2 linked regions of the Anolis sagrei genome follow. The protein of the gene in region 1 purifies or fractionates together with the protein of each later gene. This does not show direct contact. Links are inferred from orthologs where the notes say so. Each region holds a gene or a part of one and is shown on either strand. Other genes may lie near its edges.

Region 1 (7,004 bases):
ACCAAGGAGTAGATGGAAGTCCAACCAAACTATGGTTTGTTTGTTTTTTTTCATTTATTTTCTACCATTTTTTTTCTTTTTCCCCCCCTTTTGTACATCTATTTTATTATAATTATTTATAATTATAATACTAGTACTAAAAATGAATATTAATAATAATGTAATATTATATTACATTAATATAATATAATATTATAATATTAATAATAATGTAATAATAATAATAATAACAATAATGTAATAATTATAATAAATAGTAAACTAAATCCTTGATTGTTTGTCCCCCCTTTTCTGTATTTTTGGTTTTATTGAATAAGAAAAAACAAGTTGGTACGACAATAAAAATTAATATGAAAAAATAAAAATTAATATGAAAAATTCAAATAATAATAATACCAAATAGTAAGTAAATAGTAAATAAATAGTAAGATAAATCCTAATAATACTAATACATAATGATGTAATAATATTAATAAAATGAAAATAATTAATAATTAATAATCGTCAATATGAATAAAAACATTATAGTAGTACTAATAATAGCAACATTCACACTTATCTCCAACAGACAAGAGTTCTTTCCCCCACCCTGGACATTCCACAAAGATAGAAACCCAATTTTCCTAGTTTCCAACACACCTCACAATCTTTGAGGATGCTTCAGCCATGGATGAGGGTGAAATGTCAGGAGAGAACTGGAAGATGGCCATGCAGCCCAGAAGACTCACAACAGCCCAGTGATTCACACAATCCGAGAATCAAAGAGCTGGAAGAGACCTCCTGGGCCATCTAGTCCAACCCCATTCTGCCAAGAAGCAGGAATATTGCATTCCGGGCATTAAAGCCTTTGACAATACATAATGATAGCAATAAATAGTAAAATAAATCCTAATAAATAATAATAATGATAAAAATAATAATATAACAAAAAGAAATAAAGAGTAAACAAGTAAATAGTATCATAAATCCTAATAATAATAATAATAATAATAATAATAATAATAATAATAATATTTTTGTCGTGTCAGGAGCGACTTGAGAAACTGCAAGTCGCTACTGGTGTGAGAGAATTGGCCGTCTGCAAGGACATTGCCCAGGGGACACCCAGATTATTTGATGTTTTTATCACCCTTGTGGGAGGCTTCTCTCATGTCCCCGTATGAGGAGCTGGAGCTGATAGAGGGAGCTCATCCACCTCTCCCCAGATTCGAACCTGCGACCTGTCAGTCTTCAGTCCTGCCGGCACAGGGGTTTAACCCACTGCACCACCGGGGGCTCCATAATAATAATAATAATAATAATAATAATAATAATAATAATGTAATAGAAGTAATAATAAACACTAAAATAAATCCTAATAATAATCATCTAATATTAATAATAATAAAAAGAAAATAAATCCTAATAATAAAAATTATAATTATTAATAATGTAATAATAGTAATAAACAGTAAACTATATAGTAAAAAAAATTAATAAGAGTAATAAAAGGAAAATAAATCCTAATAATTAATAATTATTACTATTAATAATGCCGTAATAATAGTGATAAAGGGGAAATGAATCCTAATAATTTTTAATCATTAATATTATTAATAATATTATAATAGTAATAAACAGTAAAATAAATACTAGTACTAATAATGAATATTAATAATAATGTAATAATTATAATAAATAGTAAACTAAATCCTTATAGTAATTATTATTAATAATAAAATAAATCTTAATAACAACAATAATTTAGACGAAGAATAAGTCAGTAACATGATAAGGGGAAGAAAGAAGAGAAGGGAAGGATAATACAGGGCCTGGTGCCTCTATAAAAAGAAGAATATATAGAAGGAACACCAAGGAGTAGATGGAAGTCCAACCAAACTATGGTTTGTTTGTTTTTTTTCATTTCTTTTCTACCATTTCTTTCTTTTTCCCCCTTTTGTACATCTATTTTATTATAATTATTTTTTCTCTTGTCCCATTATTCCTTTTTGGCCTCTGTTTCTCCTTTTCCCTTCTCCCCCCCCCCACCCCTCTTGATTGCTTGCCCCCCCCTTTTCTGTATTTTTGGTGTTATTGAATAAGAAAAAACAAGTTGGTACGACAATAAAAATTAATATGAAAAAAATTAATATGAAAAAATTAATCCAAATAATAATACCAAATAGTAAAAACAATCATAATAAAATAATATATAATAAAAAGGTAATAATAGTAATAAATAGTACATAAATAGTAAAATAAATCCTAATAATACTAATAAATAATAATGTAAGAATAATAGTAATAAAAGGAAAATAAATATTAATATTAATATCATCATCAACAACAACAACAGTAACATGCACACCTACCTCCAACAGACAAGAGTTCTTTCTCCCACCCTGGACATTCCACAAATATATAAACCCAATTTTCCTATTTTCCTCACAACCTCTGAGGATGCCTGCCATAGATGCAGGCAAAATGTCAGGAGAGAATGCTTCTGGAACATGACCATACAGCCTGGAAAGCTCACAACCCAGTGATTCCAGCCATGAAAGCCTTCGACAATACATAATGATAGGAATAAATAGTAAAATAAATCCTAATAATAATTAATATTAATAATAATATAATAATAAAAATAATAAATAGTAAACTAGTCAAGACTCAATAGTATAATAAATCCTAATAATAATATGAATAATAATGTAATAAACAGTAAAATATATTCTATTAATAATAAATAATCTAATATTAATAAAAAGAAAATAAATCCTAATAATTAAAATTATATTAATAATATAATAATAGTAATAAACTAAAGCCTAATAACATTAATAAATAATAATTAATATGAGTAATAAAAGGAAAATAAATCCTAATAATTAATAATCATTTATATTAATAATGTAAGAATAGTAATAAAAGGAATAAAAGGAATAAAAAGCCCCCCGGTGGTGTAGTGGGTTAAAGCCTTGTGCCGGCAGGACTGAAGAGTGACTGGTCGCAGGTTTGAATCCGGGGAGAGGCGGATGAGTTCCCTCTATTAGCTCCAGCTCCTCATGCGGGGACATGAGAGAAGCCTCCCACAAGGATGATACAGCATCAAAAATCATCCAAGCGTCCCCTGGGCAACTCTCACAACAGGAGCAGTTGCTCCTGACACGACAAAAAAATAAAAAATAAAATAAAAGGAAAATAAATCCTAATAATAAATAATCTAAAATTAATAAGAAAAAGAAAATAAATCCTAATAATAATTAATATAATAATAGAAATAAATAGTAAACTAAATCCTAATAATTGATATTAATAATAATGTAATAAAAAGTAATAAATAGTAAACTAAATCCTAATAATAATTAATAATAATAGGAATAAATCCTGATAATAATTAATAATCATTTATATTAATAATGTAATAATAGTAATAAAAGGGAAATAAATCCTAAAATTAATAATCATTAATATTAATATAATAATAGTAGTAAAAATAGTATAATAAATCCTTATAGTAATAATAGTAATAAAAGGAAAATAAATCCTAATAATAATCGTTACTATTAATATTAATATATTAGTAGTAGTAATAAATAGTATAATAAATCATTATAGTAATAATAACGTAATAGTAAGAGTATTAAAAGGAAAATAAATCCTTATAGTAATAATAATGTAATAGTAAGAGTATTAAAAGGAAAATAAATCCTAATAATCAATAATCATTATTATTAATGCTATAATAATGGTAATAGAGGAAAAATAAATCCTAATAATAATAATATCATTATTAATACTAAAATAATAGTAATAAGTAGTAAAATAAATACGAGTACTAATAATTATAATGTAATAATAGATAGTAAACTAAATCCGGAGAGTAATTCTGATTAATAGTAAAAGCAATCCTAACAACAGGAGCAGGAGCAGGAGCGTGAACCCAACAGTAGGAAGACTCGGGACTAAGTGAGCTCGCTTGGCTGAGCCCGAGGAGGAGTTTCGTTTTCCTGCCTGAGTTTCGTTTTTCCGCGGGTGGAAACGGAAAGCGCCGCGCGCTTCGGGGGCTGCTCTCCCCCCGCCCCCCCCCCACCCCCGAGGAGCCGCATAAAAGGCGCGCCTGTCAGACGCCCGGCACTTCGGGAACGGGAGGCGCGATTGGAGGCAGAAGAGCAGAGCAGAGCAGAGCAGAGCAGAGCGGAGCGGAGCGGAGCGGAGCGGAAGATTGCGAGTTCGAATCCAGCCATGGTGAGTGACGCTCTTGCCCAGGGACTGAAAGTCAGTGGGGAAAGGCAGAGGAGGAGGAGGAAGCAGCAGCTCCCCTTCACTTGGCCCAGCTCCAGGCCTGCGAAGGGCTCGCTTCAAGCCACGACTCCCAAGACCTCATCGCCTTGAGCCAGGGCAGTTCATCGCGGTACCAAACTGCGTTAACTCTGTAGTGTAGACGCGTCACTGGAAGGAAACGTGACAATTCCCTATTGAGCACCAATTGCCAATGTAGGGCTGCTAAGGCCCCCACTACGTTGCCATATAACATCCAGATTATCTGCCGGATTATATGGCAGTGTAGACTCGGATAATCCAGTTCATATAAAATCCATATAAAATCAGGTTTATCTGCTTTGTACCGGATTATATGGCAGTGTAGACTCGGATAATCCTGTTCATATAAAATCCATATAAAATCCAGATTATCTGCTTTGTACCGGATTATATACCAGTGTAGACTCGGATAATCCAGTTCATATAAAATCCAGATTATCTGCTTTGTACCGGATTATATGGCAGTGTAGACTCGGATAATCCCGTTCATATAAAATCCGTATAAAATCCAGATTATCTGCTCTGTACCGGATTATATACCAGTGTAGACTCGGATAATCCAGTTCAAAGCAAGTAGTGTGGTTGTCAGCTTGGATAAACCTGGATTACATAGCAGTGCAGAAGGGTTCCTGAGTCGACACTGCCATTTAATCCAGGTCAAAGTAGATAATCTGGGTTTTATATGGCAGTGTAGACTCGGATAATCCAGTTCAAAGCAGGTAGTGTGGATTCTCTTCCTGCATAAACCTGGATTATATGACAGAGCAGAAGGGGCCTGAGTCTACACTGCTATGTAATCCAGTTCAAAGTAGTAAATCTGGGTTTTATATGACAGTGTAGACTCGGATAATCCAGTTCAAAGCAGGTAGTGTGGTTGTCAGTTTGGATAAACCTGGATTATATAGCAGTGCAGAACGGGCCTGAGTCGACTCTGCCATATAATCCAGTTCAAAGCAGATAGTGTGGATTTTCTTCTTACATAAACCTGGATTATATGACAGAGCAGAAGGGGCCTGAGTCTACACTGCCATATAATCCAGTTCAAAGTAGATAATCTCGGTTTTATATGGCAGTGTAGAAAGCCTGAATCCAAGATGAACCCATGGGCAAAAAAAAATTCCACCCAAATTGTCGAAGCTTTCTTGGCCAGAATCACAGGGTTGTTGTAGGTTTTTTGGGCTGTATGGCCATGTTCTAGAAGCATTCTCTCCTGACATTTCGCCTGCATCTATGACAAGCATCCTCAGAGGTTGTGAGGTCTGTTAGAATCTAGGAAAATTGGGTTTCTATATTTGTGGAATGTCCAGGCTGGGAGAAAGAACTCTTGTCTGTTGGAGGTAGGTGTAATGTTGCTATTTTTAGTACTATTATTATATTATTATTCATATTGACTATTATTAATTATGATTTATTTTCAGTTTATTAGTATTACTACATCATTTATTAGTATTATTAGGATTTATCTTACTATTTATTACTATTATTACATTTTATTATTTATTTATTTAATTATTTTTATTCAGATTTTTTTTAAACTAGGCTTGCCACAGATGCAGGCGAAACATCAGGAAAGAATGCTACTAGAATATGGCCATACAGCCTGAAAAACCTACAACAATCCTCCCAAATTATTCATAAACAACAACAATAATGATTATAATAATATCATTATGCAACACAGTTTATGTTCCTGGGTTAGAAATGTCATTTCCTGATTGGTTTGGTCATAGAAACATGGGCAAAGTGGATTACACTGCCAAATATATTACCCACCTCTCCTTGCTGCTCAAGGTGGGGTACAACATCATTATTTATCTGGGTTGTTTTTCAGGCTGTATGGCCATGTTCCAGAAGCATTCTCTCCTGACATTTCTCCTGCATCTATGGCAGGCATCCTCAGAGGTTGTGACTGCACAGCCTCTGAGGATGCCTGCCATAGATGCAGGAGAAACGTCAGGAGAATATGCTTCTGGAACATGGCCATACAGCCCGAAAAACTTACAACAACCCAGTTGTAAATGTAATAATCTATATAAATAAAAATGTAATGTTGGTTTTTGGGATTAACAGAACTCAAAAACCAGTGGGCGAAATGACACCCAATTTGGACACAAGACACCTAACAACCCAATGTATGTCCTTCAAGCAAAAAAAAAAAAAAAAAAGATTGACATTTGGGAGATGTAGTTTCTGGGATTTATAGTTCACCTGCAATCAAAGAGCATTCTGAACCCCACCAACGATGGAATCGAACCAAACTTGGCACACAGTTCTCCCATGACCAACAGAAAATACTGGAAGGGTTTGGTGGGCAGTGCCCTTTGGTTTTGGAGTTGTAGTTCACCTACATCCCAAGATCACTGTGGACTCAAACAATGATGGATCTGGACCAAACTCCACGCGAATACTCAATATGCCCAAATGTGAACACTGGTGGAGTTTGGGGAAAAGAAACCTTGACATTTGGGAGTTGTAGTTGCTGGGATTTATAGTTCACCTACAAGCACAGAGCATTCTGAACCCCACCAATGATAGAATTGGGCCAAACCTCCCACACAGAACCCCCATGTGGGCCACAGCAACGCGTGGCAGGGGACGGCTAGTAACAGAATAGAGTAAAATAATAAATGTAATAATAGAGTAAAATCATAATAATAATAATAATAATAATAATAATACAATTAAATAATAAATAATCTTGA
Region 2 (7,794 bases), on another chromosome or scaffold:
CTTATAATTCTATGAAATGCCGTAATTCCACAGCACTGAGCCATGGCAATGCGGTGTCAAACTGAATTCATTCAACAGCGCTGATATACCCTTAGCAAGCCGATTTAGACAATGTGTTGCCAAAGGCTTTCATGGCTGGAATCACTGGGTTGCTGTGTGTTTTCCAGGCTGTATAGCCACGTTCCAGAAACATTCTCTCGTGAAGTATCACCCATATCTATGGCAGGCATCCTCAGAGGTTGTGAAGTTTGTTGGAAACTGGGCAAGTAAGGTTTATATATCTGTGAAATGTCCAAGGTAGTCTTGTCTGTTTGAGGTAAGTGTGAATGGTGCAATTGATCACCTTGATTAACACTGAATGGCCTTGCAGCTTCAAAGCTTGGTTGCTTCCTGCCTGGGAGAATCCTATGTTTGCATTTGCCTAGTTTCCAACAAACCTCACAACCTCTAAGGATGCCTGCCATAGATGTGGGTTTTTGTTTCATGTCAGGAGCGACTTGAGAAACTGCAAGTCACTTCTGGTGCGAGAAAATTGGCCATCTGCAAGGACATTGCCGAGGGGACACCCAGATGTTTTACCATCCTCATGGGAGAATTCTTTCAGGTCACCGCATGGGGAGCTGAGGCTGACAGAGGGAGCTCAACCCAGTCTTCCTGTATTCAAATCAATGACGTGTCAGTCAGCGATCCTGCTGGCACAAGGGTTTAACTCATTGTGCCATGGAGTGCTATGATAATTTGGGATAAATAGTAAAGCTGGGTTCAGATCAGATATATGGCCTGTCTGGAAGGGCCCTCAAAAGGTGTCTAAATCTGGGTTGCTGTGAGTTTTCTGCACTGTATGGGCATGTTCCAGAAACATTCTCTCCTGATGTTTCACCCACATCTAGGGGGCACATTGGGTTAAAACCTTGTGCCAGCAGGATTGCTGAATGACAGGTCAATAGTTCGCATGAGGGGAAAGCGAGCTGAGTTCCCTCTGTCAGTTCCAGCTCCCCATGCAGTGACATGAGAGAAGCCTCCCACAAGGATGATAAAACATCCGGGTGCCCCCTGTGCAATGCCCTTGCAGAATACTTTGGTTTGAAGCTGCAAGGCCATTAAGTGCTAATCAGAGTGATCAACTGAAACATTCACACTTGCCTCAAACAGATAAGAGTTTTCTCCTGCCCTGGACATTCCACAGATCTATAAACCTCACTTGCCTAGTTTCCAACAAACCTCACAATCTCTGAGGATGCCTACTATAGATGTGGGCGAAACATCAGGAGAGACTGCTTCTGGAACATGCCCATACAGCCCGGAAAACTCACAGCAACCAAGTGATTCCAGCCATGAAAGCCTTTGACAACACAGTGTCTACATCCACTTGCCATGAGTATATCTGCACTGTTGAAGGAATGCAGTTTGACATCGCTTTGATTGCCATGGCTCGCTGCTGCGGAATTATGGCATTTCACAGAACCATAAAGTTGCAAGAGACCCCAAGGGCCATCCAGTCCAACCCCCTTCTTCCATGCTGGAACACACTATAAAAGCCACCCAACAGATGGCCAGAGGAGGAGACTTCATCACGCTCTGAGGACCATACTCCACTGCAAAAGAGCTGTCACCAACAGGAAGTTTTTCCAAATGTTTGGGTGGAATGTCTTTTCCTGCAGCTGGAATCCATTGCTCCTGTTCCTGGTCTTTAGGGCAGTGGAAAACAAGCTTTCCCCTTGAGAGATGTCCTCACTATAAATTTCTAGGTCTCCCAGCATGACAAAAAGGTATGAACCATAGGGTCACCTGGGAGCTGGAAATTCCTAGGGAAGACATTTGAATCAAATCTAGAGAAGTCAAAACCACAAATGTGTACTAGTGATGGGAGTAAAATGGGAGGGGCCTGAGGCTGTTAGGAATGGTGAGAGTTGAAGGCCAAAACAACCAGGGAGAGAGGGTTCAGCTCCCTCTATCCATTCCAGTTCCCCATGTTGGGACATGAGAGAAGCCTCCCACACATGACTGGTAAAACATCCAAAAACTTCCAGGCGTCCCCTGTGTAACGTCCTTGCAGACGGCCAATTCTCTCACACCAGAAGCGACTTGCAGTTACTCAAGTCGCTCCTGACACGTAAAAAAAAAAATTCTGGCAGTGCGGACTCATATAATCCAGTTTACAGCAGAAAACCTAGGATCCGATCTTGGGATATAGGGCCTGTCTGGAAGGAGCCTAAGAGGCGCTCCTGGGTCATGACTGAAACCCGGCCACGCCTCTCCTCCCAAATTGAGGGTCTGGTTTTGAAGCAGAGGCTGGATGGCCATCTGTCGGGAGTGCTTGGCGCGTGTGTTCCCGGGGGTCACTTCCAACTCGGCGATTCTGTGGGCGAAGCGGGCAAGGAGTGGCCCTCCTCACCCTGGCGGAGCAATGCCTGGGCGCTGAGGGCATCATCTGGTGCGCCTTTTGCGGCATTTCCCCGCCATTCCAGCCCGTCCTTGAGTCACAAACAGAGCCGCCTCCCTTCACCGCAGAGGGGCAGCGAGAGAAGGCTGGCGGGAGGGAGAGAGAGAGGCGGCAGGCCTGGCCATTCATTCCCTCGCAGCTCCCTCCTTCCGTCCGCGCGGTCACTCCCACCTGCCCGACTGCCCGCCCGCCTCAAATGGCGGCGCGTTCCCACTCTCCCTGTTGCGGCCCTCAGGCCTCGCAGAGGCGCAAGAGGCAAGGCCAGCTGAGGGCACCGGAAGCGCCGCCTTCCCCGCTGAGTCCCGGCTCAGGGCTCCTCTCCGCCCAAGGCCCAAGGCCCGGCCGAGAGGCCCAAGAGGCCTGTCTCCCTGCGCGGAAGGCCTCAGGCGAGAACGGTGAGGCCGAGGGCGCGAAGCCGACCTACCTTGATGATCCTGCGGGGCAGCCCGGCCATCTTGTCTTATCGGGGATTCAGGCTCCGCTGGGTCTCGGCTCCGCTCGGGGCTCACGCGCTGCCGGAAGGAGTCCGTTCTTCACTTCCGGCGACGTCACCCGCTGGGCCGCTGCCCCGACGCACGCCGGGAAAGGGAGTCCTCGGCGGGGCGCGAGGGCGCCTGGAAGGAAGGCGGAAGGAAGGCCGCGCGGGCTCAAGGCAAGGCAGTTCCTTGCCCTGCCTCATTGCAGTGGGATCCTGGGAGTTGTAGTTTGGTGAGGCGCCGGCATTCTTTGGCAGGAGGAGCAGGCTGGAGCAGACATGGGCAAACTTAGGCCCTCCAGTTGTTTTGGCCTTCAGTTCCCGATAATAGTATGATATATTGTCGCAGGCTTTCATGGCCGGAATCACTGGGCTGTTGTAGTTTTTTTCGGGCTATATGGCCATGTTCTAGAGGCATTTTCTCCTGACGTTTCTCCTGCATCTGTGGCAAGCATCCTCAGATGTAGTGCTACCTCTGAGGATGCTTGCCACAGATGCAGGAGAAACGTCAGGAGAAAATGCCTCTAGAACATGGCCATATAGCCCGAAAAAAACTACAGCAATCCAATAGTATGATAGCTGGGTCCGGAAGCTCCGAGCCTAACGCTGTTTCTACTTCGATCCTTCGGGAGCGCTGAATGCGCAACGCGATATTACAGAAGGAATATAAGAGTTCTTTAATGGTAAAACCCTAACCGAACTCTAAACCTAACCCCTAATCCTAACCTAACTCTAAACCTTACCCTAATCCTAACACAAACCCTAACCCTAAAGCATATTCTAACCTTACCCTAACCCTAACGCAAACCCTAATTCTAAAGCTTACCCTAAATCTTGCCCTAACCCTAAATCTTACCCTAAACCTAACCCTTAATCCTAACCCTAAAGTTTACCTTAACATTACCCTATGCCCAATCCTTACCCTAACCTAAAACCTAACCCAGGGGCGGCTCAACCCATTACGCAAAGTAAGCATTCTCAGTATAGTTGATTTTGCCCAGGGGCGCTCTTGGGGAAAAATAGACCTTGACATATGCGAGTTGTAGTTACTGGGATGTATAGTTCACCTAAAATCAAAGAGCATTCTGAACTCCACCAATGATGGAATTGAACTAAACATGGCACACAGAACTCCCATGATGAACAGAAAATATATATCAGTGATTGGGGGGGGGGGGGCGCCAAAATACTGTTTGCTTACCGTTGAAAATTACCTAGGGCCGCCTCTGACCTAACCCTAAACCTCATCCCAACCCTCCCCTCATTTCTAGCCTTCTACCCTTACGTGGTCCCTTCTCTTATTCACAACCACTCTTGCAAAATGTGCATAACGCTCAGAGCTTCCGGACCCAGCTATCATACTATCACCCAATTCCCACCATTCCTAACAGCCTCAGGCTCTTTTCTTTTCCCCTTCAGGCGCTTAACCCTAGTGCCCCAGTCCCAGCGAATGTGGACAGAAGGTGCTGTCTTTGTATGCCAGCTGAACAGTTTTGGTTAATTTATATGCAAGCTATGCCAGTGGAAACTGATCTAACACACATAAGGCACTGCCTTGATTGTGTTACCTTGTTCTCTGAGGCCACTATAGCAGTGTGTTGTTCATTCGTTCAGTCGCTTCCGACTCCTCGTGACCTCATGGACCAGCTCACGTCAGAGCTCCCTGTCAGCCGTCACCACACCCAGCTCCTTCAGAGTCAAGCCAGTCACTTCAAGGATACCATCCATCCATCTTGCCCTTGGTCGGCCCCTCATCCTTTTTATAATAATAATATTTTTTTAAAAAAAAAACTTTATTTGTACCCCGCTACCATCTCCCCAGCTTCTGCCAACCTAGCAGTTCGAAAACATGCAAATGTGAGTAGATCAATAGGTACCGCTCCGGCGGGAAGGTAACAGCGCTCCATGCAGTCATGCCGGCCACATGACCGTGGAGGTGTCTACGGACAACGCTGGCTCTTCGGCTTAGAAATGGAGATGAGCAGCACACCCCAGAGTCAGACATGACTGGACTTAATGTCAGGGGACTACCTTTACCTTTACCTTACCATCTCCCCAAGGGACTCAGTGCGGCTTTCATGAGGCCAAGCCCACAGCACATCAATAAATAAAAGCGATAACAATCAATACAAACAGTTGAAATAAAAACTCAAAACAAAAAATACACAATAAACAGTAACAATAACATAGAGCATTAAAAAACCTATGGCCGGGCCAAATGTAATAATTAAAATTTAAAAATGCTGGGCATGAAACAAGGTAAGGTAAACTAGGATAGGGTTTTCAAAGAAAGATGAGGGCACGTAGACAATCCTAAATCAGTATTAAAGTGCATTTTTCCTTCCATTTTCCCCGGCATCATTGTCATCTCTAAGCTTTCCTCTCTTCTCATGATGTGGCCAAAGTACTTCATCTTTGCCTCTAATATCCTTCCCTCCAATGAGCAGTTGGGCTTTATTTCCTCAAGTATGGACTGGTTGGATCTTCTCGCAGTCCAAGGCCCTCTCAGAATTTTCCTCCAACATCACAGTTCAGAAGCATCTATCTTCCTTTGCTCAGTCTTCCTTATGGTCCAGCTCTCACATCCGTAGGTTACTACAGGGAATACCATTGCTTTAACTATGTGGATCTTCATTGCCAGGGTGATGTCTCTACTCTTCACTATTTTATCGAGATTGGTCATTGCTCTCCTCCCAAGAGGCAAACGTCTTCTGATTTCCTGGCTGCAGTCTGCATCTGCAGTAATCTTTGCACCTAGAAATACAAAGTCTGTCACTGCTTCCACCTTTTATCCCTCTATTTGCTATCAATAGCAGTATCAAAATAAAAAGTATATGACAGACTGAAAAATACATACAGAGTATTAAATTACCACCAGCAATGCACTAAATAACCTGATTGTAATATTTCAGTTTTTTAAAATTTGGTTGCTATTTTATAGTACTGTTTGGTTTAGACTGCATTGTCATAAAGTTTATATCAGATGCATGTGTGTAAGTGAGCAAGATTGGCCCCAAAGTACACTTATGTTGTAGGCATTTCTATGTGCTACATAAGCCAAGCACTATGGACGTATATGTACAGATACATATATAGGTTGAATACCACTTATCCAAAATGCTTGAGTTCAGACATGTTTGCGATTTTTTGGATGTTGGGATATTTTCATCAATGTTCTGGGATATCTTGGAGATGAGAGCCAAACTTAAACACAATTTTTCATATTTCATATACACTCTATACCAGGCATGGGCAAACTTGGTCCCTCCAGGTGTTTTGGACTGCAACTCCCACCATTCCTAACAGCCTCAGGCCCTTTCCCTGTCCCCCTTTCCCTTTCCCCCTCAGTCGCTCAAGCAATGTTATCTGCCATTAAGTCAACTTCAACTTATGGTGATCTTAAGAATGAGAGACCCCCAAGTCTTATTCTGATCCTGCAAATGCTTCTTCATAGGGTCTATCCATCTGTAATAAGGTCTTCCGCTTTTTCTATTGCCTTCCCAAACATTACACAGGCTTGTGATTATTTTTTTTCAATATTGTCACATTTTTTTAAAATGCTGAATTCAAACAAAACACAATAAAATGTCATACCATGTAAGTCTTTCACAAATTCATTATTTTTTAAAATTCAGTCAATTTCGATTGTAAGCACTGATGATTTGTTTGAATGATTTTGAACAGCTTTTTATGTTTCATATCCAATTAAAGTTTTTTGAAAACCTGTTGGAAAAGTTTAACCACTTTCTTATTCTTCTCCCAATGAAATTTTACTCAATTACATGTTACAAAATAAAAGCATTAAAGTTAGTTGTGAATAAATGTTAGCTCACTTTGCGATTTGTAATGCCAAACTCCTGTAAATGTGGATAATTTTCAAAAACTGTTAATGACCCTCAATTTACCAGGCCTGTTGTCTGTCATCTATTAAATCATGTTTTTTCATATAGGTCCCAACCAAACTACACTGGGGAACACTTTCTACCTTTGTCCCACACCAGTTTCTAAAGACCTACTGCTATTTATTAGACATATGTACGAGCATTTCTGTTCAGTCACCATTACATTCTTATCCTTTATTCGTTTTTCTTATCACACTTGCATTGAAAACAGCCTCCGTTTCTTGTGTGCCATTGAGATCATGTAAAGGAGCAAGGTTAGTTTCAGTAATGTGAGATTCCAAAGGTCATTTCAATTTCGAGCCTTCTCAGAAGGGATACAGCTTCCTAAGACGGCTGCCTGGCTGGTTTGTATTTTAAGAAGTACTACAAAGGATCCGTATGAGAGTTAAAAGTTGAACTTGATTAGTATTTCTTGGCTACTTTAGGCAACTGTCTTAAATACTTGAATGGGTGAAAATATATTTGAACGCAAGAGTGTAACTTGAGTAAATGCCAAGAGGATCAAACAGTTTTCCCTTTTAACTTCTTACATCCCGGGAATGGTGTTGTGACAGAATCTAATGGATAGCAATTTGGTTTTTGGTTTTTTTGTTCATTTGTTTTTAGAAGGGCAATGCTGAACTGTTTTTCCCTAACAGAGTGGATGAGAACATTACTTTTCCAAGATATGTCCACATCATTGCACAATGCAACTGTTGAACTGTACATATCACCATATCACCATTTTCACAATATATTCACATTTAGCCTATAAACCAATACATTCTTCTTTCAGCAAATATGGTCCTGCTACTCAAAATAAAATACCCCCACCGCCTGTGAAGCGGACAACAATATCAACTGAAATGTTGTTGCAGGGGAAATTGCATCAACCCTAGATACCATAGAGAGCGGCAAAAGATGGAAGGAGTTGTAATCTAACTATATTTCAAGGACCTCATCCATCTTGTTAGGAAGAAATAATTTTGGCTGTT

What was found.
Region 2: the proteins of ISG15 (region 1) and UBE2N purify together in Homo sapiens (affinity purification with western blotting; 3 studies listed by BioGRID, with this or other methods). This does not show direct contact. The link is inferred for Anolis sagrei from reciprocal best matches to the Homo sapiens genes ISG15 and UBE2N.

Annotation. Positions count from the first base shown.
Region 1 is NC_090034.1:47,507,284-47,514,287, reverse strand, and holds the start of ISG15 (ubiquitin-like protein ISG15), read left to right. Parts: upstream 1-3,990; 5' UTR 3,991-4,163; intron 4,164-4,193; 5' UTR 4,194-4,224; coding exon 4,225-4,227; intron 4,228-7,004.
Region 2 is NC_090025.1:154,604,250-154,612,043, forward strand, and holds the start of UBE2N (ubiquitin-conjugating enzyme E2 N), read right to left. Parts: upstream 3,004-7,794; 5' UTR 2,898-3,003; coding exon 2,868-2,897; intron 1-2,867. UniProt on the Homo sapiens protein: The UBE2V1-UBE2N and UBE2V2-UBE2N heterodimers catalyze the synthesis of non-canonical 'Lys-63'-linked polyubiquitin chains. This type of polyubiquitination does not lead to protein degradation by the proteasome.